3 linked regions of the Styela clava genome follow. The protein of the gene in region 2 purifies or fractionates together with the protein of the main gene of each other region. This does not show direct contact. Links are inferred from orthologs where the notes say so. Each region holds a gene or a part of one and is shown on either strand. Other genes may lie near its edges. The genes, in order: activator of 90 kDa heat shock protein ATPase homolog 1-like, heat shock protein HSP 90-beta-like and serine/threonine-protein phosphatase 5-like.

What was found.
Region 1: the proteins of heat shock protein HSP 90-beta-like (region 2) and activator of 90 kDa heat shock protein ATPase homolog 1-like fractionate together in Caenorhabditis elegans (co-fractionation; 3 studies listed by BioGRID, with this or other methods). This does not show direct contact. The link is inferred for Styela clava from reciprocal best matches to the Caenorhabditis elegans genes hsp-90 and ahsa-1.
Region 3: the proteins of heat shock protein HSP 90-beta-like (region 2) and serine/threonine-protein phosphatase 5-like fractionate together in Caenorhabditis elegans (co-fractionation; 3 studies listed by BioGRID). This does not show direct contact. The link is inferred for Styela clava from reciprocal best matches to the Caenorhabditis elegans genes hsp-90 and pph-5.

The regions. Positions count from the first base shown.
Region 1 is NC_135250.1:394,353-405,153, forward strand, and holds the start of activator of 90 kDa heat shock protein ATPase homolog 1-like, read right to left. Parts: upstream 4,985-10,801; 5' UTR 4,740-4,984; coding exon 4,616-4,739; intron 4,034-4,615; coding exon 3,876-4,033; intron 3,181-3,875; coding exon 3,067-3,180; intron 2,053-3,066; coding exon 1,825-2,052; intron 683-1,824; coding exon 505-682; intron 1-504.
Region 2 is NC_135251.1:21,554,648-21,564,762, forward strand, and holds the start of heat shock protein HSP 90-beta-like, read right to left. Parts: upstream 4,493-10,115; 5' UTR 4,469-4,492; intron 1-4,468. UniProt on the Caenorhabditis elegans protein: Molecular chaperone that promotes the maturation, structural maintenance and proper regulation of specific target proteins involved for instance in cell cycle control and signal transduction. Undergoes a functional cycle that is linked to its ATPase activity.
Region 3 is NC_135264.1:16,671,870-16,682,605, reverse strand, and holds the start of serine/threonine-protein phosphatase 5-like, read right to left. Parts: upstream 4,199-10,736; 5' UTR 4,078-4,198; coding exon 3,972-4,077; intron 2,723-3,971; coding exon 2,553-2,722; intron 2,134-2,552; coding exon 2,062-2,133; intron 1,655-2,061; coding exon 1,507-1,654; intron 967-1,506; coding exon 852-966; intron 1-851. Other genes in the region: reticulocalbin-2-like, read right to left, coding at 6,232-6,431, 7,014-7,108, 7,472-7,648, 8,085-8,324, 9,134-9,291, 9,666-9,802.

The sequences.
Region 1 (10,801 bases), on a different chromosome or scaffold from region 2:
AAACAAAGCACATAGTTTGACAACCACTACTCTATCTTGCCCATACCTACTTGTCCAAAGCCTTATACCAAGAGATTGATCGAAAAGCTTGTTTGCTTGTTTTTGAAGAATGAAAAATTTACTAGTATAATGCTTGTTCAAGCCTCATTCAGAGAGAACCAAACCAGCATAGCGCATGATCGCTACCGGATACATTCAAGTGAAAAATAGATAAAAGCATAACCATAGCGAAACGATATAATTTGTCAATTTGTGATTTTCGAATTCGATGATTGATAAAGAAACATCCCTGTTCTCGCCTGTGTATAAAACGCAGTTTAGATATCCCCATGTTTGTTTAAACTTGCGCTAATTCACTTAGATCTATTATTATGTCTCGATGATTTTTCTCTTACTTTGTCTTTATTACGCCCTGACGAAGTTCTTCTGAATAGAAATTCAAAACTACGCGAATTACATTATTTGTTAACACTGGTCATGCTTTATTTATTCACAGAATCCTACCTTCCACATTCTTATCAAACAAAGTGAGGACTGTCCCAACGTCCACGTCAGACTTCACTTCACTTCTAGACCAGGCCGAGATGCGATCTTTCAGTGTCAGGGTCAGATAGAGTTCGTCCACCGTTGTCATGAAAGTCTCGGACATCGTAAGTTTCTTTGTTGTGATTTTGATACCGGCCTGGAGAGAAAAATAGTGTTTTTTAATAAAGGAGAGGCTAACTCAGAAGTAAAATAGACTCAACTCTGAACATAATTAGGAGTACTCACTCAGAAGAAAAAGAGACTAATCTCTAAGTGAAGTTATGGGCACTCACTCAGAAGTAAAAGAGACTAATCTCTGAGTAAAGTTAGAGGCACTCACTCAGAAGTAAAAGAGACTAATCTCTGAGTAAAGTTACGGGCCCTCACTCAGAAGTAAAATAGACTCATCTCTGAACAAAATTAGGAGTACTCACTCAGAAGTAAAAGAGACTAATCTCTGAGTAAAGTTAGGGGCACTCACTCAGAAGTAAAAGAGACTTATCTCTGAGTAAAGTTAGGGGCACTCACTCAGAAGTAAAATAGACTCATCTCTGAGAAAAGTTACGGGCACTCACTCAGAAGTAAAAGAGACTAATCTCTGAGTGAAGTTATGGGCACTCACTCAGAAGTAAAATAGACTCATCTCTGAGAAAAGTTACGGGCACTCACTCAGAAGTAAAAGAGACTAATGTCTGAGTGAAGTTATGGGCACTCACTCAGAAGTAAAAGAGACTAATCTCTGAGTAAAGTTAGGGGCACTCACTCAGAAGTAAAATAGACTCATCTCTGAGAAAAGTTACGGGCACTCACTCAGAAGTAAAGGAGACTAATCTCTGAGTAAAGTTAGGGGCACTCACTCAGAAGTAAAATAGACTCATCTCTGAGAAAAGTTACGGGCACTCACTCAGAAGTAAAATAGACTCATCTCTGAGAAAAGTTACGGGCACTCACTCAGAAGTAAAATAGACTAATCTCTGAGTGAAGTTATGGGCACTCACTCAGAAGTAAAATAGACTCATCTCTGAGAAAAGTTACGGGCACTCACTCAGAAGTAAATGAGACTAATCTCTGAGTAAAGTTACGGGCCCTCACTCAGAAGTAAAAGAGACTAATCTCTAAGTGAAGTTATGGGCACTCACTCAGAAGTAAAATAGACTCATCTCTGAGAAAAGTTACGGGCAATTACTCAGAAGTAAAATAGACTCAACTGAGCAAAGTTATAGGCACTCACTCAGAAGTAAAAAAGACTTCTTTGAGGAAATTAAGAGCAACTATTGAAATCAAGCTAAAATTTCTCACATTTGTTTTATCCGTTTTCTTGTCGTTCATTGCAAGATTATTCATTTCCTTTTTAATTAAATTCGTACTATTTTTCATCGTTGAAACCGCAGTTTTCGAATCAACTTTTGCATCTTTGGGGGGAAGAATTAGTTGTGTGCCGTAGTTCGTCCGTAGTTGATCAAGATAGGCTTGAAGTTTTTCACGAACCAGTACGACTCCGAATGTTTTCATCAGTGCTGTGATTGTCTGAGATTAAAAGAATGAGAAATTAGTCATATTTCACTAATTGGGGTAATTTAGACCATTGGTCTTTAAACTTTTTCATTGCAACCTACTTGGTACGGCCAATTTGTTTTGCCCCACCAAAAAACTAAAATAAAGTCAGATTAAATAATACAGAAAATTCGTATGCATCCAAAACTGCAGCCAATAAATACTAACTCGCCTACGTTTCATATTTCAATAACAGAACACATATTGCCCATTTGCCCTTTATATCAAACCCGGTCAATTGGATTTAACTTCCCTCAGTACCGATGAACTATAATATTAGTTCCGTCACGCATAATGGCTAGTCTACATTTGGTTTTGTTCTGGCTGGGATAGCCGTACTCCTTTGTTTCAATAAATAAAATTTCACAGCACACTCAAGCGTGTAACATTTCGCTTCATTAAGTCAGGATCTGTTTAAAATGTTTTCTTGTAAATAAGGTATTTTAATAATGTTCCTGAAACTTACTGTGACTCATGTTGAGATCTATAATGACCAATTAGGCACCCCCATTTGAAGAGCCCTGATTCAGACTTAAACACAGACAAGCAGATAAGACTCATCTCTGAACAAAGGGCCACAGTACTATTAAATATTGCTAGTTTCAATTATATCACAATAGGTAATTTTGATTGTAGCAGCAATCAATGATGATGCTGTTTTCTGCTACTGAGAGATGATTTCCATTCTAATTATAAACGTTTAATTAAGTGTCCATTTTTACAGGAATATCTTGATTTTTCCTGTAGTTTTTTCTTAATGTTAGAAGTTTTAGGAGAACAAGGCCCACAAGAATTTTCGGGCAACAAAAATGGGCCACGAAAGAAAAAAGGTTGCGAACTACTGAATTTGAAAGCCACCCCAACTCAGTGTCCTCTCTACTGTAAATGCCTCTCCCACTCCCCATGATCTTCTCTCTTTATTAAATACTCTCGTATTCACTCCCACTCCTCGTGCTCACTTTACTAAATAATCCCACTCCCACTCACCGTGTTCTCTTTATTCTCTTTATTAATCTTGATTTCCACATCAACTTCATCAGGTTCGTATTCTTCCGACATGTTTTCTATGATAAGTTCGCCTTTGTAGACTGTGGCATCATTCTATGAAAACAAGAATAAACCGTGACTGAATGTCATATAAAAGTGTTCCCACTTCCCATAAGAGGAGAAAGAAGAGGGCAATCCTCAAATGATGGCAGCTTTTTACATATTGTTACATATAGTGACTGCTCACACAGAACTTTGTTCAAGTCAAGACAAGTTTATATTTTCCAACCAGTGAAAAAGGTAAGTTTTACACAAAATACGAAGAGAAAAGATAATCACACATTTCAAGTGGGGAAGGGAAGCCGTGAGGAACCAAAGCTGGATATCGAGCAGTGACATCCATGGATCTAATATCTAATTGAAAAGATCAAGAAGTTCAGTTACTGAGAGCGAAAGACATGCAGAAGCATTGTATAAAAAATTCTCACACATAATCGCACAAGGCCAAATGTCATACAGAAGTGTTTCCATCAATTTAAATCACACAGAAAAAATCTGGGTGGAGTATCGAGTCCTTTGGGGGTAAAAGGAAAGTTGAAAACATAAAAGTAATAGCCTTCTTACATTCCCTTCCATTGAAGTACTGAAAATTTGAACTAAACTGGCCACCCAGAATGTAATGACGCTCGTTCCCAAAATAGCAGATATTTGCCAATCAATCTTTGATAGAGGAGGAATGTTAGCTGAATTTCAGAAGACATCCATCGGCAACTTCTGATAAAAAATATTCAAATCAAGTACACGCCCACCTTCACGCCTCCTTTCCATTTAGCTGTGATTTTCCACTCATAGAAACAAATGATTTTGTTTTTTCTGTTGCTAACGGAAGCCTCTCCTTCACAGACTATATTTGATAAGGTACAGGATCCCACACTCTCATCACCGATCAACATGCCGTCAAGAAGTTCTGAATTATTCAAGAAAAAATTAAATTATAAATTTTTAACTGTAGAAATACCAAGATAGAGTTGTCCAAAGAAATTTGAATATCAGAATATTATTCATAATTGGTCACTTCGATATATTCTTGATATTGGGAATAATTTAAAAAAAAATTCCTAACTGGGGCGTGATTCCTGTTCCTAACTGGGGCTCTCTGCTTTATAGAGGAAAATTTCGAAACATGACCTATATTCAGTGCAGCTTCACTAATATTATTCAGTATTATTGTAATCCATATAAACATGCACGTTTGAACGTACTAAAAACCAGAGTGCGAGTTACGTTTAAAACTAGCTGAATGCCTCGAGAGAATGAAAAATTTATGAAAACAGATGTTTTTGCACATAGTGAGGGTGTGATGGCAAGTTTCAACACAGGCGAAGGAAGAAATTTGCTGAAAAAGGTCGCAACCATTGGTTTGGAATACCCTCATTTAAAAAATAGTTTCTGGTAATTCTACTGCAACAACAAGTATTTAGCAAAACAAATCACATGTACACATAGCGTCCAAATAAGTTATATTTATTGCCATATATTTATGACTCACCTTTAAACTTATTCTTTGACCACTGGGTGGCGTCACTTTCTCTCCAATGCCAGTTATTAACGTTATGAGCATCAGCTCTCTCTTCAACTATCCAACGTGGATCGCCTTCCCCCCACTTTGCCATATTTACTTGCGGGAGAAATATGAATTAGGAATAAAAATAAAGTTGATCAATTGACTGCAATGCAAAAGTCCTTCAATAATTTTCAAAGCTTGATCTCAATCAGAGTTGCTGGAAATAATCAATGAAAACCGACGTGATAGGAATTCACAAAGCAGAGTAAAAGATCCTTGTTGATTTTAAGATTTACAACTCGGTTTACGAAGTTTTTATTTACAGTGTGTAATTTATCTGGAAAAAAATATTCATGAATAGATGTTAAAACTATTATAGTTATTGTTGTTGTTGTTGTGGCTGTTAGTCCATAAAAAAGGATGACCCACGAGGGGTTAAAAAATGAAAACTTGTTAACTCGTAGAAGGGTTTCTCATTCTGCCATTACTAGTCTAATAGCATTCGAGAGTTTTAGGAAAAAATTTTGGTCATCTGATGGTCAATGCATGATTGATTCAGATTATTATCAAGACAAGCATGGCACGATCTGACGACCATGCCAGACATCCTTGTTTCAGAGACAAATAAAGTGTTCGTTTTCAGGTTTTATTGAACAATTCTCATAACTGAAATCATCATACAGCCATATCTGCATATGCCACGCAGTAAACGAGAAGGTCCGAGGCTGAGAGAAGCGAAACATCTGTAATCCGCTTTGACCACTTGGAGTCTTTCCAGTTCAAAAAGTCTCATTTCATTATTTATTCTTATTTTTTTTTACCTAAACCTTCTGTCAGTCTGTCTATGTTATTCTTATTTCGGTAAAGTTTTTTCAAGGTTAGGATATCTTAACTATTCTTCTTTCCTTGTTAAAGCGTTCTGTGCCATCGTACCGTAATAACTTCAGGGAGTCAGAACTCAATAACTTCTGAACCTGGATTCAGCGTTTTCCCCTAGCTTCGCTGCGGCTGCCATACCTACGTGTTACAATTCTGCTACGTTAATAAAACTATCCGCTCTCGACTGAACAATAAATAGCGTGACAGCGTTACCGGTATACCGTATCACGTTTAACACCAAAAAACGTTCACAATTTAACAAAACAACGACGTACCGGTACCGATTCTGCTGTGAAACGCGACTTACGAAACATCGAGAACTCCCGGATCAGTTCGAAATGAGCATGCTCGTCTTCGCCATGGGGAAATTACGATGCAAAATGAATATTTGCAAAATAACAAAATGTTGGTCAATCGTCAATTTTGATATAAATCTAACAAATCATACACATTTATCAAAATTTGTTAAATATATATAATGCTATAGCTTGTAACAAGTTTTATGCTGTTTCAACTAAAATAAAACACAATGAAAGTACATTTATGTTTGCATCGTAAATTCACGTTCACAATATAAGACCAGCTGTGAAATGTGAATGAGGAGAAATTTCTGGAACGGCGCCCCTTGTGCAGCGATCGGCAGGAAGTGTAAAACAGTAAAACCGCAAGTTTTCGCGCATGTGCGATGCCGACAAAACTTTGAGGAATTTTTTGCGCCAAAACATCCGACGATATTTGCACATTCGCAAATCATCTGTCTTCTTGTTTATGACTCCCCATGTTGGCGCTTAATCAGTGAAACTTCTTATTATCGTGGATCCTTGTTCATGTTTCTTAAATGTAGAATTCCCATATTTATCTCGAGAGGTAAGTCGACAAAAGTATAAGTATAAGTATAAGTTTATTTCGACTCCATAATCAGCAATAGACGATAAAAAAATAGATAAAAACAAAAGTAAAAGTAACTGATTATAGAATCGGGAAAGCGAACAAAACCTAGAGTAAGGTTTGAAACGTACAGATTTTAGATGGAAAGGTATTGATAAAAGAAGTAGTACGTGTTCGCTCACTCAAAACGGCGTCACTACATGGCAACAGCTTCTCGTTCGGATACCTGTCCATGTCAGGTAGGCTATGTATGTTTATCTGCCTCAAAAATATAACAGTATCTGCATAATATTTAAACAGTAAAACAGAGACGGGAATACATGTTCAAGACCTTACTGGCCTAAGACACAGATGTGCGATATGCACCCCTACTAACAAATATAACAGCAGTTTAGGACTGCTGCGTTATAATAGGACAACAGACATAAAGTAGGCTATACAAATAAAACTCTAGTAAAATACACTAGACAAGGAGATACGACACAACGACGATATGTGTAATATAGAGAGTTAGTTTATGGCACGTCCATGTTCCGGTGTGAGAGGATGAGGCTCGGGTATGGGTCGCTAGAATGGTATGTTTTTAAGTTTTTACAATGAATCTCACAAAACACGTAAAGATTCGTTCGGGATATAAACTTGCCAGAAACCAACGTTAGATGGGACAACGACACAAGAACAATAATTTTAAAAGGAAAATGTAAAAATCTTTTGTTTAGGCTTGAGTTTGTTAATCACTGTTTGAACTGGACAAAAGAAACATACAATAGAGAGTCTAGCATAAAATACGGGCCAAAATTGTACGAAATACGAATACGAAAATTGTTTTCCGATCAGATGGTGTCAGATTTAGGCACACAGATGTTCCATGTCATACGCGTTTATTGTAAAACGGTTGACTGTAAATAAAATGAAATAATCAATAAACACAAGATGACAATAATCACAAGATGAGGGCGGAAAGAAAGTGCATAACCAGAAGTTAATAGAAAATAAACTTACATATGATAACGCTCCAAAGGCCTAAATCGACAAGAAACTGACAGGAAACGTGAACGATAACGTTATTGGCATAAAAATAGCAACTAAATTTAGAAAGCAGTTAATAAGAATGAAATATAAAATACATGAACAATTACAGCAATAAATGACGACGATGGTCATATGGGGCCCCGGTTACGATACCTTCACCACAGGTCTACCTAACGAGACCAAAAGCCACCCACACGCTAAGTCAATAAAGCGGATAATGCGAAACCACACCACTAACATCATAACAAGATTAAACAAGAACGTCCTACGACGCGTAAAGTCGAGATGCAAGAGCCACGCGTGACACGTCAGATGCAGTAAAGCCCGCGAAACTCGCGTCAAAACAGAAAAGCAATTATCGATAAAAATTAGCAGGTCGAACACAAAGAAGAACAGCGTTCAAAATATTATCAACTGAAAAGAAACTTCTATCGCCGACACAGCCGCCCCCAATAACCCTCCAAGGGGTTATTCATTTTCCAGGAGGCATAGTTTCGTCACCAGTCTGGTTATTTCCACACCTGCTGTTTTGACGGTAGTTACACACACACGGTTAAAAGTAACTCTTCCTAGTAACCAACGTCTTCTTGGCACGTCGTCATCTACAGCAATTACGATATCATCATCAATAAATTCCTCTTTTTTCCACTTTGTTCGAGTCATCAGCATTGGTACATACGTTCGTCGCCAGCGCTTCCAAAAGCGATTCGAAATTGCTTCGGTTTGTCTCCATCTTCTCTGATGCGCTGTTGATCCAAAGGTGTATTTAGGCGTGAGGGGAGCTGGATCACGTACGTTGTCGCTAATAGAAAAGGACGACTGTTTATAATATCGGGCGCGGCTAATAAAGCACTTTGCAGCTCTAATTTGGAAACGGACATAAATTTCATCGGAGAAACAATTGATTTGGCCATCGACAAACTATAATTCACACACTGACATTTCTTGGCACGCAAGTGAGCCACTGCGACGTAAGCTTGTTCAGACGCATCGCAAATCTCATAAATAGCGGTGTTCGAGGCGCCTAAATATTGTCTAGGCACATGGAAATTAGTCAATTGTTTTAATGATTCGGTCCACTCTTCCCGAGCATTCTTCCTGAGGTTATCTTTGTAAACAATGTAGAAATTGTCGTCATTAGTGTTCCAATGAAGTCCCAGCGCCTTATAACTGGGCACATAATCAAAATTTGATTCAACGTCAGGATTACGACAATCCCCTGTGTTAAATTTCGACAATAATGTTTTGAAATTTGAAAGCCATTTTTTCAATCGAAAACTCCTGCTTGCTAATATATTAGAATTTTCTTGAGCGTCGGAAAAAGCGGAGTCACCATTACATTCTGATGAAAGCAAATCGTCTACGTAGCAATCCCTAAAAACCGTTTCTACTGCTTCCATTGAAAATTGCCCGGTGTTATCAAGCGCGGTTTTTGCAACGTATAGCGAGTCGACCACACCAAATATTCTCACTAGAAATTGATACACATCAGGCGGTGTTGTGGATCTCAGATTTCCTTGCAAGAAAAATCTGACTGAATCCGTGTCCGACTGTGGTAGACGCACCATGTGATACATGGCTACAATATCAGCATTCAATGCAATTAATCTTGTTCTGAAGCGCAATAAAACTCCAATCAGATTCTTAATGAGATCAGGTCCCGAATATATCTGATTATTCAAACCGATTCCACAATATGTATCCGCGGCGTCAAAAACTATTCGTATCTTGCCAGGTTTATTTGGATTCTCAACTCCATGATGAGGAAGATACCAAGTTCGAGGACCCAAAGTATCACGTTCTTTAACAGTCAGCTCTCGCACCCAATCATGTTTGATGTTTTTGCTCATAGAGGTGCAGTACACATCTCTCAGACCGTCATTTTCCAACAGTCGTTTTTTCGGATTCCTACATCTCGTACGGACAATAAGACTGTTCTCCGACATAATGGAAGTATCGCGACGCCACAGAAAGCCGACTTTATAATGCCCCTCAACAATAGACGTTTTAGCTCTATTCACATTCGCAGCCACGCGATCTTCCATAGATTCGGCGCGCTTCGTGTTGTAGCTCATTACCATCGCTTCCGTACTCGAAAATTGCTTAACTTGGTGTTGCAAGATATTGTAATCATCGTGTAATAAATGACAACTAGCATGAATTAAATCGTCTTCACAGGCGCGTTTGTTTGCGCCTAGCAAAGTCCATCCGAGTGGTGTTCTTATTGCAATCGGTTCATTGTCTCCCCCTACACGTCTTTCAAGTTGAAAGTGGGCAAATGGATGGTCCGCACCTATGAGCAACATAACTTCGTTTTCTCTAATGTCAGGAAGTGATAATCCACGTAAATGATGGAAGGTTTCAAAATCTTTATGACTTCTTTCAGGGTGGGGAATTCTGGTGCCACATACGAAAACTGACTTTAGATGTAGTTCTTCGCCGTCGGGATTTAATTTGTCACGCACAAAAAGTTCGACCGCTTCCGAGTCATGCAAGACCCCAGTTCCTCCGAGGGTGGTTAACATGAGCCTTTTACGACGTCCACGCAAATCCAATTTAGTTTTAAGTTTGGGATGAATGAGAGAGACCTGACTTGCCGAATCAAGCAAAGCAACTGTATACTCGGAGCGTCCATTAGCTCCTCTAACCAGAACAGGCAGCAACTGAAATTGAACTCTAGTTGTTACCGACACCGCATTGTTTATACCCTGTCGGTTTATTGGTCTTGGGACGCTTTCAAACATGCGAATTCCATGAATACATTTGTGATGTTTCCCATTGCATATACTACACTCGACATCACATCTACACATAAATGCACGATGGCCCGGTTCAAGACATTTAAAGCAAAGTCTGTAATCAACAACAAAGTTACGTTTTACATAATCGGTCGCACCGAAAAACGTCTCACAACTTCTCAAAGAATGGCGAGCATTGCAGAATTGACAACGTGATGCGTCACTATATGACGTATAATCGGATTCCAAGTTTGATAACGTTGAAAATGGAGTCGGAAATCGGCGACGAGCGCTTCTGGGCATCTCGTGGTCAGTTAAATCAGTTCTATTGATCACATTGCAAGTAACATCTGGAGAAAAAGGATTGGCGATTTCTTCAGTTCTTTCCCACAACCATTGCTCAAAGTCAATTAATGTCGGATTAGAGTTTTTTTGAATAAAACCTACAACAAATTTATTCCAACTCGAGTTCAGTTCTTGAGGAATCCTGCTTGAAACCCTTCTTACATTCTCGACGCTACTGATGTCAGCCAAATAACACATCTTTTTGAGATTCACCACGCAGTCACGCACGTCTGAGTGAAAATTTAGCAATCTATCGGCCGAAAGAGGCGACATACGTTTTCCATTTACA
Region 2 (10,115 bases):
CGTCGCCCCGTCAACGTTCGGCGAAGGCTTTGCGAGCGAAAAATGAACCATGTCGGGAGAATATGGCTAGTGTAGACAGTCTGTGCAACCGATATTGAGGTATTTTTCGAATATTTTTTATTATACCGAAAAAACAACCGGGGCATTGCCCCGGTTGGCCCTATTGACGCGCCGCCACTGATGAAATATATGGGCATGCTTCGTTGGGGCCAAGTCTTCTATTTATTCTTATTAATAAACAACAAAATCATCTAATTCAATACGTTCCCAGATCATTTCTATTTAGTACAGTGCTCTTCAACCTTTTTGTTATTGCGGAACCCCTGAAATAATTTTTCGTTTTTTATGGAACCCCAATTAACACAATTGAAAAAAAAAAAAATACGAAATACTCGTAACACGAAATATTTGTAATTCAAATATTTCTATTTCAACAACGAAACAGAAAGAGAGTAACAAGCGTGAAATTCGATGACTAGGTTGTTCTTGCATTTCCTTTGCAATCTTCTTGAATCGTGGCTCCACGGCGCTCAATGCAATTCTCATATACTCATGTCTACACTCTTTGCACAAATTATTTTGTTTTTAATAGTTGTTAAAGCAGAAAATGCTGATTCACACAAATAGGTATTAGGAAATTGACACAGAAGTTTTGATGCTTTTTTTGGCAATTGCTGTATCCGCTTTGTGGAGAGAAATCTAAAAAAATTCTTTCTCATGTTTTTGAGGGTATTAAAAAGTCGGGTTGCACACTATTTTTACTATATTCCAACAAAAGCTGAACAACATGTAACTATGGTGCGACAATGGCGTTCTTTTTTTGTTAGTTGCATAACAATGACTAAAGTGACGCAACAACCGAAAATATTTTTCTGCACTGTGACTAAACCTCCTATTCAACAAGTTGGCCTACTTGTAGTTTAAATGAGACACGGTGGTCTAAGAATATTTATAATGACGCATCAACATGCTGAACCAGGAAATGCTTTCCCCTTAAAAAAAAAAACGCGGAACCCCTAAGAAACCTTATAAACTCACGGAACCCACTGCATGTGTTGCGGAACCCTAGGGTTTCGCGGAACCCCTGTTGAAGAGCACTGATTTAGTACCATAAATATGACAATCAGAAAAATTGTGATATAACAATTTGACACGTAACGACTGAATGTGGTTCAACTGGAACACCAGTTGAAATCCACTGCCCGAGGAAACAATAAAACCCCATTTTAACGGTTATACCGTAATAAAACCGTCTTAACAAATTAGGTATTTCATGAGAACGTTTCCCATTATTTGTGTGTTTGATTTCTTCGCTTTCCTCTTAAGAAAAGATAAAATTTTACAATGATATTGCAGACAAAGAGATTTCAGTCTAAATAAATAATTAATAATCCAGATGATATGTAAGGAACAATCGTCAATTATAGAATGAAAGGATTTTTGAAAATTTGAGAACAAAATTACTCTATTTAATTAAGGTTTTTATCCTGTGGCGTTATGCTCAATAATTACTGATGGAAAGAAGATGTTGCGAATGTATTATTAATTAACGCAGGTGTTTTATAATATATATTACCTTGTCGTTTATCCTCTGGCATTGTCAGCCTTGTACAAGATTTGTTTTCCATTGAACATTTTGTTTGCCACCCTGTGATTGAATCAGGCATTTATCTTTTCTCCGTGTACTTGGAAAATGAAAATGATTTTTGGAAACAGAACGGTTACTACAAATCAGATTCTGAACAATGGCAGTTGGAATTCCAATGTATCGGCTACTAACCATACGTTTATGGACATGAATTCAACAGTTGCACCGAGTCCGACGTTTAACTTCAGCCGTGAGGGTTCGAACGATTATGTGGTCAATATAACACTGACGTTATCACAAGCAGTGATAGCAATTCTCTTTTTACTATCATGTTGGATGTTAGCAAGTTTTGTTGTCTACTGTATTCATAATGGAAAATGGAAGAACAAACAAACGACAAGTTTTTTCACTGCAAAACTGTTGTACATTATTTATACTTTAGTTCTAGGCGTCCTAATCCAAAAAATGGTATCCACGCAAGTTTCAATCCAGGCAACTCGGGGTGCAAACTCTTCGTCTTTATGTAAGGCAGTCGATACTGTGTCAAAAGTGTATTACTCCATCATTACATATCTCATTTATTTCTTTTCATGGGTGAGACAAAGAATAATTTATGAAAAAGGAATCTTTTCAGGAAATTATATCTCTCGCCTAAGTTGGGGAATATTTGCGATACTTCCATCAGAATTGATTATAATAATAAGTAAGTTGATTATATTTGATCGCTTGCGGTCAGTACCACAAGGTTGTCTAAATATTAACAACATCGATAACGGAGTCCTACGTATTTTCATGCGCCTTCCGTTGATCGTAGCCCAAATCGCCATTCTTGGCCTGCTTGTTTACGCGGTTGTCAAGAACACCATGGAATACAAATCAAAATATCATGGCTCGAAATGGATCGTACTGTTTTGTGACACAGGAACTTCGAAGTCTAATGAAGTACAAAAAACGATTCGTCGTGTTCTTATCTGGGCATTCGTTGCTGTTATCACGGACGTTATAATTGGTGTGATGAATTTACGATTGATTCCAGAACACTTTCCTGTTTCAATTCGTGCGACAATGGGAGACATAATGTCTTTTGTCAATGTCATTTGCATATCCATGACATTTGAAGACAGATGGCAAATATTGAAAGTTTTTTTCCAGTGGAAACAAAATAAGGTTGCTGCTTCTGACTTGCCAACCAAGCCGACTACAATTCCGCAGACAAAACCAATTTGTTCCAATGCAGACAGACGTATTGGTCCATATTGTGAAGAGACCGTGTAGAAAAACTATATAAATATATATAGGGTTACCATATTTTTTTGACTTCAAAGCGGGACGCCCCCAAAGACACGATCCTTTAGCTGTGATCCTGTAACTTTACAGTTTCCGATTTCACTACATAGGCCTACATTTGAAGCCATCCCGACTGTCTTCATTGACCGCATTGTCATCGAGAGTTCATGCGCATATTCTCTGTCTAAATATCTGGTAGGGTTCGAAAAAATAGAAAGGAATAGACGCTAACGATACAAAAGATCCAAATTTAGATTTTTGTATGTACAGCAAAAAGAATAAAGAAATAGTCTGCCGTTTTCAAGCATTGAGATTTACTTATTCGCCCAAGCATGCTTTTCTGTAGATAACACCTTCAAAAACACGTTCGAACGTCCGAACAGGACCAATTAGAATTGATTTCACACGCGATACGTTCGCTAACAATGTTAGCGGGAAACAACGAAACAAACAAAATAACGTATTAACCTTCAGTACGTAGGCTATCTTTGCGCTACACAGCAACAACAGTAACGAGAAAATGTTCGTGTAATTATGCTTGATGGCTGAACGCCAAAGCGGGACTTTTGACTGACTTGTCGGGAAGGCGGGACAAGACGCTAAAAAGCGGGACTGTCCCACCTGAAGCGGGGCGTATGGTAAGCCTATATATATTGAAAGTCTCAGGACGGTCGGCGCATAAATTGGTGTGGAGATAATTTCAATTGGTACTGCCATAAAGAAATATTGAGGCGGGACTAGATTTATATTTTCAAACCAACTGATGTTGAAGACACAGTTTTCATAGCACTTCATTCATGGCAATTGAACTTTGGTGTCCCGAGGTTGGGTTTTAATCCGAAGTGCAAAGATATTTCAAATTTGTGACAGATTGTATCAAAGTTTTATTCTTTATTCTGTGTGTAGCTTATTATTTGCATGAGATGTTGTGTACGTGTGATTAATTTCTTTACGTACCTAATGTTATTTGTATATGTTTTTGCTTACGTAAATATCAAGATCAATTTTATTTTATATCTTGCTTAATCGGACTCCTATTTCCATCAAAAATAAAATTACACTGGGTGCGATAGCGTGGTATTTACGGTATTGTATGTGACTAGGATGGCATTATATGATGAATATTTAGTATTCAAACAACATGCGCCCGTCCTAATCTTGTTGCAATGAGCCCTTAGGCCACATCCACGGTCGTTTGCACGCAAGCATTGCCAAGACGAATATTTTGTTTATGTTGGTTACATTAAAGTTGGGGATTGTCGCGAGAATTATTGCTTTTTCCGGTACTCCCGTAGTATGTGTATAGACCACCAGGTTAGGCCATAATTTTATTTCGATTTTCCTTATATATTTTAGTTTTAGTACGAGCTCAGGGACTGTCTGTGTTAGCCAAGTGAATATCCCCCCGCCCATAGGTTTCAGTCCCTTTACACATGTGGCGTACCAAAATTGATATCACCACTCAGGTTCTTTCTGCCAGCTTCTTGGACACTGTAATTGCTATAGATGACGATTGTAAATCACCTTCTTGCGGTTCCAACTGCAGCAAAGTAACTAATTTAACTATTTAGATTAATTATACACCTGAAAGAACTTAATACAACCAAATACTCCAATAAGAAATACAATAAACAAATAAAAATACACGGAACACAAAATAGGAATTAATCTATGACGTCACAGTCATGAATTATTGACCTGTAATGGAATATACAAAAACCAGGCAAAACATACCTAGAAATACATACGAATAACTAGTATGACACTAAAAATACAACACCAATCCTATTTTACCGACAAACACTTAATATACCTGGCAATACACATAGAAATACGGATATCACACCGGAACTAAACTGCGAACGTAGACTGGTTACGAAAATGTTAAATACAAGGTAACTAGTGAACAGACTCAGAGCTATGCCAAACTGGGGAAACAGCTAACCTGTAGTACTACTAACAATCTACAACAAGAATTACATAGATACACGGTCATAAAACACTATAATAATAACCTAAAACACAGAGGAAATTCCACACTGCCGGCACTCTGACAAACCAGCAAAAAAGGAAAGATACTCAATTGCTTACTAATGACTCGTTTCTAATGACTCAAGTGGTAAGAATAAATATGGGCATAAAGAATAGAACAGAGTTGTGGACGTGGTCGTCTCACACAACTTGATGTAAAATAGGCGTACAAAATTAGATACTTCCATATTGGTACACATACTTCTGCAGCACCATTTTTCAGCTCATCTCAGCAGCGCCGGATTAACCATTAAACAATATAAGCACGTGCTTAGGGCACAAAGCAAAGAGGGGCACCACAGAAATTTTAGAACAGAATTTTATATAGTTTATCGGTGTTTATTAAAATAGCACTAGTTCACCAGACGACTTAAACTTCAAAATGTTCGCTTATTTTTCGTCTTCAAGTGTCATATTACCTACATTATTAAAAATACACACTGAAACTTTTTTTTACACGAAATGGGCCTTTGAGTCGTTTATTTAAATTGTTGTTGTTTTTTCATTTTAGTATTCTCCTTGTTGCTGCATTTTTGTTTTAAAAAAAATTTTTTCTCTTCAACAATTGGACCAATGAACTATTTACACTCTGTGGCGGTTCCACGATCGCATTTCAACAATCTAGTGGTCAGCGAAATCGGGAGTTTTTTTTGATAAGGTAGACCAGGGTGGTCCAAACCCTGTTATGCTTATACATTCCGTGCGGAATAGCATATATTTGTATCTAATGGAGGAACGTTTTTGAGTTTTTTTAGCTATTCCAACTGGGGTTGGGATCCCGGGATAACGCTTTGTGCCTTTATTTTAGTAAAACCCTCCTCTGTTTCCAAGCGTCGGCCACGTGACAGTAGTGACGAAACGCAGAGCCGACTCAACGCCGCGCAATCCAGTTTTTTTTTTAGCTAGGTCCCGAAATACCAACTTAGACAGACTTGGTTGGTTTTTGACAATAGCACTAAGCTTGCTCACCAAATCTCAACCGCCGCGACCCCTTTCTCTTCAACTGAGCTACTGGACTAATTGCTGTGAAATGTTCAGTGAATAGAGATTGTTGTTGTCACCGAAGGCTAACATTTTTATTTATTTCAAAAATTTCTGTGGGCTCTAACAAATATGGATTTTTATTCAGTCAGACGTCACATGAAAAAATGCACAAAAATTGATACAAAAATAAATATACCATCAACGTCTGTTGTGCGACAAACGTCTTCTTCAAGCAGTCGTGTAAAAATAACTGCATATGCTAAAAATATTGTAGCAATAGTAGTGACGGTGAACAGATTTTGACTCTAATACGTAAATTATTAAAAAATTCACTGCAAACGAAATTTTGCTAAGATATATAATAAAATAAATAAAAGAAAGTGAGAAATGTATACAAATTACAAGGAAAGCAAACAACAAACAAAGAAAAAATGGTTACAGCAATGGCAATTTAAGAACATCGTATATAAAATTAGAAATAGGGGAGTTAATAAAAACTTCAGGAGAATTTGCAACAAAACCTATTCTGAAAACAATATAACGTTTATATAAATATTTAATACATTACACAGAAAATGGTCCTAAAATGGCTTTCGTAATAATTTACCATCTATCAGGATCCTCAATGAATTTTCCGTTAATGACTTTAATCTAATGACTTTGTGTGATCGATAGTCAAAATATTATTGCACCTTCCAGAGTTCTGACAAGAAAAGTTGCAAAAAAGGACATGGCCCATCAAAGAAAATTTGCGACCAATAAAAATTGGAATGAGCTTCATATGTCTCTATCGTCCAATACAGGGGTGTAGTGGAAAGTGGGGAAGGTTGAGACACATTTTTCTTTTACATTTGAGACATACATCTTATCACCAAAATGCTTTAAAAAATGTTTGCCAAGTTTCCCACTGTACTCCACTTGTGGGGCACATTCGGACAGGGAAAAAATGGGAGAACTTCAATTTTGTAGATTTATTATTTTTGAAATCAATGTTCAACCAAAATATTTCATATATTTTTCGAAAAAATTCCGTAAACAAATTAAATTATTTCCTTTTTCGAATCCGATAATATACTTGATTCTTTAATGTATTCCATAACGCAAGAAACATAACGCATCTCTAGGCCTCTAAGCACTTAATGGTTCAAACACTGTCGAATTGTGCCCAGTGGGGCATGTCCCGCTAAACCCCGTTCCATTGTTCTCCATAAAGAAAAACAAATACGTCAGACTTTCCAACGGCGATATTAGGAAAGCACGTCCACTCGCCAACGTTATGAACATTTTACAGTGGACTAAAGCTAAAAAAAATATCAGTCCGTGGTTTGTCATGTTGAAACGGATGAGGTAGAAAAAAGAAAAAAATGGAATGGTGAAATTTTAGTTTCAACCCCCCAAAACCAATTTAACCTTATAGCTTGCGTTGCTCTACACGGCCGTTGTCCGTTTACGGGGACGTTGTAACCCACCGGAGGGCGGATTCAAACATCGAACCGCAGACCGGATATAGTATGAGAGCTGATTTTCCACTATGCCCCATGTCCCAACGTGGCCCACCTTCCCCTACAACCTATTTTCTATAGTCGGTCGCGATTCGTTTCTGTAAAAGGACTAAGACCGCCAGTGATATCGAGATTCTTCATGAGTTAGGTATGTTTAATCAAAGAATTTAATTTGACTGGATAATTCCTTGATCGAAACGAGTTTGAAAATCCAGACGTGAGTATACCCCACACTTGGAAACTATTTGTACCTTCAATTAACCCCGTCTTGAAATCGTTTACACCATTTACTCGAGCCACTTGAAAAAAGTGGTGTCGTTATATTTGGGTCCAAATACGCGTTTCCTCAAAAATAAGACGATCTTATTTCAATTTTTCTTTGAAAAATAACACTGAGCTTCTTTTGGGGGGGAGGAGGGGTGTCTTTTATTTTCATTTATTAAAAACAAAATTACAAAGTAGAGAATTATGAGATTTTTAAATATAAAAAACATGACTATATAGGTCTTATTTTATGGGGGAGGGCTTATAATAAAATCATTTTTAAAATTCAGGCTAGGTCTTCTTTTTTGGGTAAACACGGTACCTTGTTACACCTGTGTTGTATAAGCGTAACATTTTTCATAAAAAAACTTCTACGGGCCAGCTTGAGGCAGTCCCTATAAATAAGCGTAATATTATTAACAGGAACAAATTTGGTTTCAGAAACGACCATTGCATGAAACACAATAACATTGATGCAACTGCTATGATTAGCAATAGTATAGAATGGCAATATTGAACATGTTTCCCAGCCACGAAAAAAACATTTTTTACCGTTGCGTAAAATCTCTGAAAAAGCACACTTAGTCAATATATATTATGTGGACTCCCGTTTATTTCCATCAATAACGTATGAGGCTTTGATATTGCACCAACGTTTTTTTTAATTTTTTATCTTCATTAATAATACAGGGTTATGCCCTTTACAGTTTTGTTTTTAGTCAGTTCTCAATATATCTTAATCAGGTTTGTTGTTTTTCAATTGGTAATTGTTCAGATATTTTTACTTCATTTAATACATCTGTGAGGGCCAAAACAATATCTGGTATCGATAAACTCACTTTGCAATTTTAAACAATTTCAAGTCCTTATGGACACCCAGTATAATCAATATTTCAATATGTAGCTGGATACTCGAAGTTGCAACAAACCGAATCTATAAGTTATCTCGGCTTGGATACACTAGTAGTCTAGTTGTAGGCTAGTTTTCGCAGTTAGCACCAACCAGACAACTCCAATACTAAGTTTATGCTCTGATCATTGTTGATTGGAAACATGTTTAACATTACATTGCATCCGGGTGGGGCCTGAACTCTTGTCTTTACCAGTGATGCGCGTTGTCTCCGTTGGACCTTGAGCGTCGTACCACTTGGTCAGTGCATTTGAACGCTTGCTCTTTCCATTTCTTGGATTGTAAAATCTTATTACTTTTATTATATTTGCAATTAACTTGGAGTCTTAATGCATCCGATATTTGACCCTAAATTTTGCTGTTTTATTTTTATTCATGAGAACACTTTATTCCGTGAAGTTTCGGTATACTTGCACGACGTTTTGTTCGGTGCACAAAATCCCGTGTTTTTGAAAAGACAAATTTTGTTTTATCGAAACATTTTTCGTCGTCCATACTTATCGTGCAGTCGAAATAAACTTCTTGTATCCAAGACGTTTTTTTAAATATATTTTGCATTGGCTATTTTAAAACTAATTGTTCTTTGTACCCAAAACTTAGTTAGGGCTTTTTGGAGACTTATGCTTGAGTTTTATCTGGAGATATCACGCTAAAGAGGTATTCCTTAATTAATGATATTTCAGGTATGCGCGACCTGATGCCCAAAATTTGTAAATTAAAAAAAGCATTAAACTGAATTTGTGTCTAATGGAGAGTTAAGCGCTAATTAGAGCTAAACACATAACGTTTTCATTCTATTATTGGTATTTGTTTCTCACGTGTTTTAAGAAATACTAATTATAATTTATTTAGATCGAAACCTCGTAATCTGATTATTAGCAATATCGCGCAACTAAATTACCATTTAGCCACCGAGATTTATGTTGCGAATACATTATTAAAACTCATTATATTTCATATTAACGGATCAGGCGATCGGAACCGTTAAACATTTATGTGCTGGTGTGCGTGTTTTACTGTAAAATAACGTATGTTTGTGTACTATATTGGAGCTTGACTGTTACGTCTTTGATGGAAAATAAACTAGACTCGAGATTATAAAAGGTAACAGTTGTAAACATCGCTCCGTGTCACTAAGGCGGAAATGAAGTCAAATATCTACATTTTCATATCATTACAAATCGGAATCAAAAATACCCATACGGCAGCTTCTGGAACATGATATATATATAACGATGACGCTACTCGTTGAAAGAGCCAGCTTTTTCGATGGATAATAATTTTTCACGTTAAGCAAAATACATTCACGATCAATGCGAGCATTTAAAATATCTTGTACATCGTGGGCACGAATAATTGTTTTAACTTCGGTAATTATGATATATAATGGCTCAATTTTGGCGGTTTACAATGTCTAAAGTAGCGTTTTTACATCTGGCACGGAATCCTAAAGCAAAAGTTAAGGTGTATTCCGTTCATGTTGTTAATATTTTATACCACAATTTTAAAGTCCCAATATTCACTCCTTATTTTCAGTTGAAAATTTTTA
Region 3 (10,736 bases), on a different chromosome or scaffold from region 2:
AATTGATTTTTTTCAAATTTTTCAAAAAATTGAAATTTTTATTAAAAGTAAATAGGTCAGTGATAAAAAACGAAAATGTTTTATAGAAATTGTAACCCATGATTGTGTTCATGAGTAACTGGCAATCAATTAATACCATAAGCTAAAGAAAATTCAAAATCAAACTACACGAAATCAGGTTTCAAAACTATTTGATTAAAAGGGCCTTCCGGAAGGCCAAAAGACCTTCCGGAAGGCCTTTTGTCGAATTATCAAAATACGCCGCAGTCGTCCTATGATTACCATAGAATGCTACCCAAACCTCTCCAAAGAGATAGAGGAGAACATCAGTGCTTCAGTATATTCAATATCTAAACTGCAGGGTGGCAAGGAATGAATTATAGTGGGAAACTATAGTTGAGGTGGTATATAAAAAAACAGACCATTTGGAACATATTCTATAGAGAACATAACTTTTGTGCAAAGCTTCCTAGGTTACAATCATACATAAACAGAAGTTTGAATTTTAAATAAATTTTCGGTGCTCCCGAAGTATGCGAACCAAGATGGCGGACATCGGAACGTAACATGGGTAACAGGTTAGGGTTAGGCGATAATTTTTTTCTAATTTTAGTCCTATTATCAGTTCGAAGACTAGCCAAGAGCCTCCCGTAGTATTCATACCTAAAATTATGGCCTAACCCTAACCTAGTATAATGTTACATTCCGATGTCCGCCATCTTGGTTCGCATACTTCGGGAGCCCCAAATTTTCTTTATTTTCACAGAAGTAATTAGAATTTCAGGTCGGTCGGGTTTCAAAGAGGCTGATGCTACTAGTCTAGAGCTTGATACAGAGATGAGAATTCCTACCTTTTACTTAATCTCATGTCTTTCCCTGATTTATAATATTGGATCAATTCCGACATGAATTCCTTCGTCATGCCTTCGTCAGCGATTCGAGGACCTTTGTAACTGTCGTCAATTGCTGAAATAAATCAAATGAGAAATGAGGAAACAAAAGTACAAAATAAGAATTTTGATATGAGGTAATCTTTAAATATAAAAATAATTATAATTTAGAATAAATAAACTAGAAGAAATAGGTCTCTTGCATACGACTGACAGCACAAGAAGTGGATCATTGCCAGCAAAGTAACCTCTGCTAAAGGCTATTGTAGTATTTTGCCTCTGTCTGCAACTGCAAGTTCCTATGCTTTCGCAAAGTAACTGATTACATCTCTGATCACCCACGTTCAAAGATTTGCATCCCGTGCGGTGATAACTATATGTGAGAAGATTGCCGGGCAATCCACCAATGTGAATCTACAGATCGGTTACAGCTGCCTCCACCATCAAGTCCATGCAAAAAAATAATATTCTATTCCCATACCAGTTTGGGGTCGTAAAAACATACTGAATAGTTTAGGCCTATTTTTTTGTGACGAGGTTATCAATTTTCGCAGATATTGTTAGTCGCTTGTTCAAACCTTGTTTGAAGCAAAGACAAAAAAGTACCAAAACTTACTCATAGCTTCAAGATGAATTGTTTCTGAAACAATCTTCTTAACTTCATCACAAGCGATCGCTTTCTCAAACGCTTGTCTTTTAACAATTTTACTACATTCAGTGTATTTAACTTTCGCATCTGCATCATTAGGCTTTGATTTTACGACCTGAAAAGTTAGAAAATATATTTTAAGGGAGATTTAAAGATTCTTTACTCTTGTTACAAGTGCTTCTTTGCTTATTCATAGTAAGACATTGCAATACATGAAAAAATTGAATTATGAAAGTTTTGCGAGAATTGGCATGTTTTAACTTTTAACTGGAGTTAGGAGTGCTCATCAGAATCATATTTTTAAACTCCTCAGAGTGGGGGGTTGGAAACAAAATTTGAATTCCCTGAAGTCTTCGGAGTTAAAATTTCAAATTTTTTGTGGTGATAATCAAAGTCAGAAATTATCTACAGAAAATATACAGAATCAAAGCTTGTCAAGTGTTCTTAGCAGTCTATTAAATAAGGCCAAAGTTCGGAAACTTTGATCAAAAGATCCAATTAGACCAGCTAATGAAATCTGACCGTTTCATAATCTTTCATTGCTGCCTTGAATTTTCCCATTGCCATGTTAGCTGATGCTCGCCTGTAATATCCCTGTGAAAAGGTGTAATTACAGTTATTTGTCAAGCTGTATTATTGCATGGGAATATATATCTCTTACAGCAGGAAGGGAGGCGACCCTTGGGCCACAAACCGACACGCCAAGCCATTTAGTGTGGCCCTCAGATTTTTCTTCATTAAATAAAATCTGGCCAGATTCCAAATCCGAAATTTTATGTTTAAAAAGACACTCAAATGGGTAAAAATGTTTTTGCACTTGTCGCAGCTAGATGTCTTAAGTTGGTTATATGACCCACCGATAAAAAAATTGCAAACCCCTGTCCTGCATTTTAGAGCATTTCCAGTAATTCCTGTTTTACCGCAATTTAGGGTTGCCAAGATCACAATATCAACTGGGCAAACTATGCAATATCTCAAGAGTGAGACAACAAATTTCTGTAGTGTAAACTCACTTTAAGATATCTTCGATCAAGAGCAATAGCTTTACTCGCATCCTCGAGTGCGTAGCCATAATTTTCAAGTTTTAAATTCGCAAAACTTCTGTTTCCAAAATACGCAGCTACAGAGGGATTGAGTTCGATAGCTTCCGAGTAAAGGAGAATCGCTTGTTCGTAGTTCTTTTCTGAAGGAGTAAATTTCGAAGGTCATTAGTTAAAGTAAGCTTTATTATATTGATAAAAAAGAAAAATCATAAAAACTACTATGCAGAAAGAACATAGCCACAAATACAGACTTTTCAGATCACAGACTTTCGGACCAGGAGGTGGTTTGTTTGAGGTAAGATTCGAGATTGGAATCTAAGGTCTAGCGAAGTAAACGCTGTAATTGTTTGAATAACAGCGATCAAAAATGTGATGTCAAATTGTAATGTATCTGTACGACGCAGTAAGGATTCTTGAAACAGGTATTTAGTTTAAATCCAATTCAATCAATTCTGCAATTTTCAACTAAGCAGGGATGTCTCATGCCAACTAGCAGAATAGAATATCTGAATATTGTGTTCGAGCAATCGATTTTTTATTTTGAAGAAATGATAAACTTGGGTTGTTTTTTGTCTTTTCACATCATGTTTTCTTGTTTGCCATTATTCAAGCAGTTACGACGTTTACTTTATGAGACCCTATGTCTGTATGTGTAAACAGAAAATAATTGCAGAAATTGTATCAATTTTACTACAGTATCAATGTATCATGCAAAACACCGGCAAAATACTTCAGTCAGTCAGTGCTCTAGACCAGAGCTACTCAACTATTTTTACCGGTCTTTCCAAAAATTATATTTCGGCATCTTTAAATACACACTTCCTCGGTCGACTAATGATTATTAGCTAATCAAGATTGTTTATTATGGCGTTACAGTTCCTCCCCATATATATTTAAATCTATAAAAGTGATTTTATAAAAGGAAACTTCAAAAGTGGGGCTAATGATCCAAAATAAAGAGGCGGTCCGAATAATAAATTAGAGGCGGTCCGAATTGAATACCCGAAAGGTCCGGATTCGGACCGCGGTCCGCCAGTTGAGTAGCCCTGCTCTAGACTACTTGTTTTAATAAATAAAATGATATTATTACTGTTATTTATATATTCGGATACAGACTAATTCGGTTTGTAAAAGCACAAATTTAGCTTGTCTATTCCTACAATATTTTCAAAGTTTAAATAAATTTAAGTTAGTTATACTAAACTTCAAAAATATTTTATCAGTGCCCTATTTTTTAATGATTAAAATAATAATATTTCTGTTATTCAGGCGTTAAGATACACCAATTTGGACCTGTAAAAACATAAATTTAGCTTGTCAGTTTGTCCATTCCTAGCAATTTTTTCCAAGTTCACAGTAAGCAATTTACGAAAGAGTAGAGATATTTACCTTTGAAAAATACATTTGCTTGTTCTTTAACCTTGTCGGCCTTTTCCACATTCGGATCCACCGAATCCACACTAGATTCTGTTACTTCCGACATAATATAATTCATTCAAGCAATCCTCAAAATTCCAAACCGCCAAAGTCTTTGTAATGACACCACGTGAGCATTTTGTGGCGTCGAAACAATGCCATAGATTATTTTACGAAAGCCGACTGCAGCCTTTTGCAAAAAAAAAATTAAAAATTGAACTTATTGTATTCACCTGAATTTGAAGAATAAAAAATTGTTTTAATATCATTTATTTTAGGCAAATTTTTATTCAAGATAACAAAGTTACTACGGTAAATTTGAGGAAATAGGAATTTTCAAATGCCACGCAAAAACTCATCTGTGGTACCCAGGGATTTTCTTCCTTTCATTCCCCAGATACAATAATAATAACAAGATTCGTCGAAAGCCACTATTTCATCTATGTAGTGTTTGTTCATCATCAGTTTCATAAGAATTCAATTTAATCAATAGCAAACCCCCATGCCCGACATGGAATGGTATCCGGACGAGAGGCCGTGGCTTGCCTCTTCCCGGGATTAATATGTAAATCGGAATCCTAAACATGCCAGTTCAAGTGCCTGCAACAATCATCTGCCGTGACAGACAGTCAAAAAACATCAGTTACGGATATCGGGATAAGTATGAAAATCTTATCCATCTAATGAACATCCGATTTTCGTTCTTCTATTGTGCACCTATTTCCCCACATCACAACTGAACCAGTAACATAATCAGGGAACATTGACCTAAACTGGCATATGGCAAACTCTCATCCAGTTACCAGTCCATGTCGGGAATGGGATTAGTTAGCCAAATTTGGTTTTCGAAAGCATGGACTTGATTGTGGAGGAAGCCGTAATCAACCGGCAGTCAAATGAACCACCCTACGGTAAGAGGGGTCCAGCACTCCTCTCGCACATAATTAACTCTGCATGGGATTCGAACCCACTCACGGTAATCAGAGATGCGGTCGCGAGCGTATTCCTAACACCTAGCAAGATGAGCCACATCACCAAGCCAAGTAAAAGCATAAAAGGAAATGGACAGCACCCATAAAATGTGTTGTATTATATTATTGTCTCAAACATACAGAAACGGCAAATGTTCTTCATAAAAAATTTCATGCGGCAAATGAGGCATGCAGTGGATATAAAATGAAACGATATACAGGGTGTCCATAAAGTCCCTTTACAATTTCAATTTGTTATGAAGTCAATTATATCTAAACCAGGTTTGTTATTTTTTAATCATAATCACTAATTGTTAAGTATTTTTAATTCATTTGATAACACTTGTGAGGGCCAAATTAATATATAGTATCGATAAATTTCCTTTATATGTTTAAAAAAAATTTAAGACTTTATGGACACACCCTATAAATATGCTGACAGTGCCTTCCTTATTAGGCAAAACGAATAGAATTACAGAAATCGGTATAAAAAGTACTATAACAATGTCAAAGGCTTTCACCCAGAAGGGATGAAATGGAATATCTGTTTCAATTTTTTCATCCTGTAGCCTTTCATTGGAATAGTTTGGTGAATATTTCTTCAAACTAGGATTAGAAAAGCACCAATTTCATTATAGTAATACTGCTGTTATTTTTTACTGCATTGATGATTTTTGAATTTGAATTATCTATAACGTTGTTCAGCTAAGGAAAAACTAAAATTATTGTTATTATTTTAATTGTTTAATTTGTTATTGTTAATTATTGTTTTTTCAAGTATTTACTAAAAGCATGATCAAAGTGCGCACTTGAAAGATGTCAAGAAAGACTTGTCCCTGAGCCAAGCTACAGGCAAACCAATTGAAGATTCAAATTTCAAGGTCAGGCTAGTGGTGCCCAACCTACTGGGGTCGTTGCGTCCTACCAGAGGCGTTCAGCGCTCCGGGCCTCTGTTTATCTTTCCGGTAGTATTTATAGTGTTAATTTGATTGGTGGATTTCAAAAATTGTTTCAGATGTATGAACTTGCTAACATGCATTGATTATGACAAGATGATTGGTATTGGTAAAGAAGTTTGAAGTTTAAAGATCAAAATACCTCATAATGCTTCAATAATTGCTTTATATAATAATAAGTTCAAAGGCTACACTTCCTCATGATGTTCCAATAATTGCTTTCCGTAATAAGTTCAAAGGTCAGGGGCTAAACTTCCTAATGATGCTCCAAGAATTATTTCCCATATTAAGTTCAAAGGTCAGGGGTTAAAGTTCCTCATGATGCTTCAATAACTGTCTCCCATAATCTGTGGCATCAGAATCTACCCAGTCCACATAATTATTCAAAATTTCTTCGACTGATAATTTATCGTCGTGATCTGAGTCTGATTCTTCCATTAAATGTTCGGCTTCCTCACGTGCTAGTATGGAGTTGTCTGGCGCCATCCAGAGGACGATCTCCTCACCTGTTAGTAGAAACAGTGAAAAAATTGAAAGTTGCAAAAAATAATGATTAGTCTGCTTCCAATTAATTGCCAATAATAACCTTGTTTTGTCTGATTAAGTTAGAATAAGAACTAACAAAAGCTTACAGATATACTTCTATATACTGCTATTTCGTAAAAAAAGCTTCTGTTTTTTATTTCATTGTTTTTTAAGTAAATATGCCCAGCGATGCGATATATAGCGACAAATTGACAATGAAATTACAATAATTCGTCAATATTACAATACTTCATTTGTTCAGTGCAGGGGTGCACATTTTCATTGACGAGACATTATAACGAAATTTTGACATCTAGCTGGGCCATCCAAAAATGTGAAATGCGACTATTGCTTAACCTCACAGTAATAAACCCACTGGGCAAAAAAATTCAATGCAGCGAGAAGAATAAAAAATTCATTATTCATTTTTACCCTATGAGCTGAGTATTAAACAAGGGCCACACTAAAAGGCTTGGCCTGTTGCACACCCCTTGTTTAGTGCTTTATTTAAAGCAAATATAAAACACTTTAAAAAACAGTCATCAGTTCACTAGGGGTCTTACCCTTCAAAAGTCCATCCTTGTTGGTGTCGAATTCATGTTGAAACTTTTCCTTTTCAAAAACTGCCCATTCTGGGTCGCCTTCATCTGCTTTCTTCCTGTGAAAGGTTGAAAAATATTGAAATTGTGAATCTAATATTACCACATATGGTAGAGCAACTATTATTATGATATGAGAATAAAAAAATTTGTTGGGTGCTCGTTTGTTACCGGGCTCTGAAGTTGATATTTTGTGATAATTTTACCAAAAACTCATCACGAACAAAATCTTATAAATTAAGAATACGAGAAAATTTGTCTCTCTGAGAAAAGTTTGATATGAACGCTGAAAATAACTAGCAATAAGCTACAAATAACAGATAGTAAGACAAAAATACGTGGATATATAATTTTTTATGTATTTTTTATTTTTAATCAGCTCCATGACACCACTGCTCTACAGGCTTGAATTAAAAACTTACTGATAATCTCCGAGGAATTCTTCTAGGTCTATTGCACCATCTCTGTTCGAATCTGATGAATCTAGTACTTCTTCGATCACGATATCCCGGGTTTTTTCATGAAGTCTTGGATGTTTGAAATATTGAAACTCTTGTAAATCTAATCCTCCACTTTGGTCAAGATCAGCCACTTCAAATCTGAAAAGAAATAAGAGAGCGGTGCTTAAATAGGCTATATGGACACAAAGTCCGAAACAAAGTACTTTTCGTTCTGGTATAAATTAATCTCAAAGTTTCGTGCAGTGTCGCGTCAAATCGGAAACAAACACCACGTTTGGAGAATTAAGAACTGTGTTCCAATGAAAAAAAAAACGAACTGAAACTGTCAAGAAATTTTAGATAAGAAACTCTGGCTTGGCATAAGATTTAGCAATCTTATCAGCCTTCAGTCCATGCATAACTATTCCCATACTCGACATGGACTGGTAACCGAACGAGAGGCTGTGGTTTGCCATATGATTAAGACGTCTTATGGGCTTTGCTCTTCCCCGGGATAAATATGTAAATCCTATCTTGTCCTTTCCCAAAATATACACATAAAAATTCCATTCTAGATATTTCAAATAAAACCCACTTTCTTCTTTCCTTTTTATACGTTGCAACAAAGTCTGACCATTCATCGGATGGAGGATTGATAAAATCCGGCGAATCTTCGTTGAAATCATCTCCGTAGGAGTCGAGAGCATATTCTGACCACTGGATGGCATTGTCATTGTTTGTATCAATACCAGAGAAGGAGTTTCTTGTGTCTTCTGTTTCGAATAAATCGTAGGATCGAACCGCCCACGCTACTAGTTCATCTATTGAAACATATCTAAGAAAATGAATTAGAATTTTGAAAAGTGTTAGAATCAAGCTTGCCAACAGGGGATTCAATTTCAAAAATGTTTTGTGAACGAATTGCTGATCACAGCAAGAGCATGGCCACGGAAGAGGGGCAATTTTTTCTTATAATGACGTAATACGATGCACACTCGTGCCTTTTGCTCCGAACGAAGTAAGATAAAAGGAGTCACTGATATCCAACAATATCTTGAAGAACAGCTCTACAGACGTACCTCGCCGTCGAAGCATATCAGCGCGGATTTTCATCTATCTCGTTTGGGTTATTTCGTGAAAGAATTAATATTAGCAAGCAAGGAAATGTCCGGTTTTCAGTAAATCGATCAAAAATAGAGCAAAATGGTGTTGAAAAAGGAGTATGAATTCATGTTTTACTGCAAATGTCGCAAAATGGCATTTAAATTGTTGAAAACTTGAGGGAGGGATGGACATGTTCCCTCAGACCCCCCTGGCTACGCCTATGAATCACAGGTACCAGTAAAAAAAGTCAAGGCCCAGTACTAGCCACCACCAACAAATATGGAGCCAGTATATAATGTTTTTACACGTCTGCAAAACTTTTTTACAAATTCTTTATAGTCCTTAGTTTAGCTAATTCATAAGATATACCTATCCAACACAGAAAAATTGAAAATAACACAATAAAAAGAATTTAACATCAACTTCATTCTGCTCATGCCACTTTTATTTTTCCTGTTTGGGATGACTTTTAAATGAATAACGGAATGGAACTGCAAAACCCTGCTTTTTACAAATGCTATAAATTTTATGTTCATTTACCCATCTTTATCCGTATCAATCCTGTTTTCCACCAATTTTCTCAATTTTTCTTTTTGTTCGAGGGGGGACATATTTTCAACTGCGTCATCGTCGTCAATATCATTTTTTTCATCCCCCCATATGACATCACGGTCAAAATCTACGTTATGTTCTCCGTCCTGGAATTGAACGAAAAACTGAGAATAAAAGCCTTGTCCAGTCAATGTCCACCCATACCAGTATGGCACAGTTCCCCGATTCCAAGAATAGCCCCCACATTAAAAGACATTAATTATAACAGTGCCGACCCCTCCTTTATGAGACATTCTGGGCCTACATATTGGCATTTGAGTCGAATTCTATAAAACTGTTCATAAACATTCAACTCTAATTCCAGAGTTAAGAATGACAAAATATAAATTAACGTTATAATACTCTATTGAAAAAAGCAGAATAATTTAATGTAATATGTTTGATGAAGATGCTGCCAAGTTATGGTTCAGTACTCAAAAAAAAATTAAAATTTCTAAATTTGTACATCTATACCCCTTACCTTAATGTGACTTTCCTTTACTTTGTTGACAAATTCGTCATGATTGTCTTCACGTTTGGTTACGGTCGCTTGAATTGTAATAAGAGATACAAACAGTATGACTAAATGAAGACCTGCCATAGGTCTAATACCGGTAACTGAAAGGAGAATAGTAACAAGTTAATGGAAGAAGTTACCGTAGTATACCGGTCTCCCGGTAGGCTTATAGAAGAACAAGGATAGGATTTACATATTTATCCCGGGAGAGAGGAAAGCCGATAGGACGGCTTATCCCTATGGCGATCCACGGCCTCTCGTCCGGTTACCATTCCAAGTCGGGTATGGGATTAGTTTTTACTGTATTGTTTGTTTTCGGAAGCATGGACTTGGTGGTGGAGGAAGCCGTAACCGACCAGCGGTTACGTGAACCACCCAACGACGGCGAGGAGTCCAGCAATCCTCTCGCACATAACCATCCCTGCATGGGATTCGAACCTGCGAACCCACGCAGAGTAATTAGAGGTGCGGTGGCGAGCGTATTCCTAACGCTTAGCCCGTTGAGCCACACCGCCGCGCCTAAAGTTAATGGAAGAAGTTACCGTAGTATACCGGTCTGCCGGTAGGCTTATAGAAGTTTATTTTTTTTAATATGTGTAAAAACACAAAGGTCACCATGCAATATAATTCCCATCACATAAATGTACAATCTGACAATAGTTACGCGAAAGTGAAAATGGCAATTAGCAAATGAATATTTTACACCATTCTTCCATTACAGCATTATTGAAACATTGGCATAATACAGTAATAATTCATTAACATGTTTGCTATCATTCCTATGCCTTTCTAAATTAAGTCTGTGTTTCAAACCCCTTTTAATTTGTGCCCCCTCCTAAAAAAAAAATAAATAAACAGTTACATGATTTGTAAATAAAAATTATGCAAGTCATCAAAAAAATTTTTTTTTTAATTTTACACCTTTGCAAGGTGCTGCGTATACTGGTATATATTAATTAAATGTAGCATGTAGGATCAGACAGGATAATACGGCTTAACCATATCCATATGGCGAATCACGGCATTTGATACAGA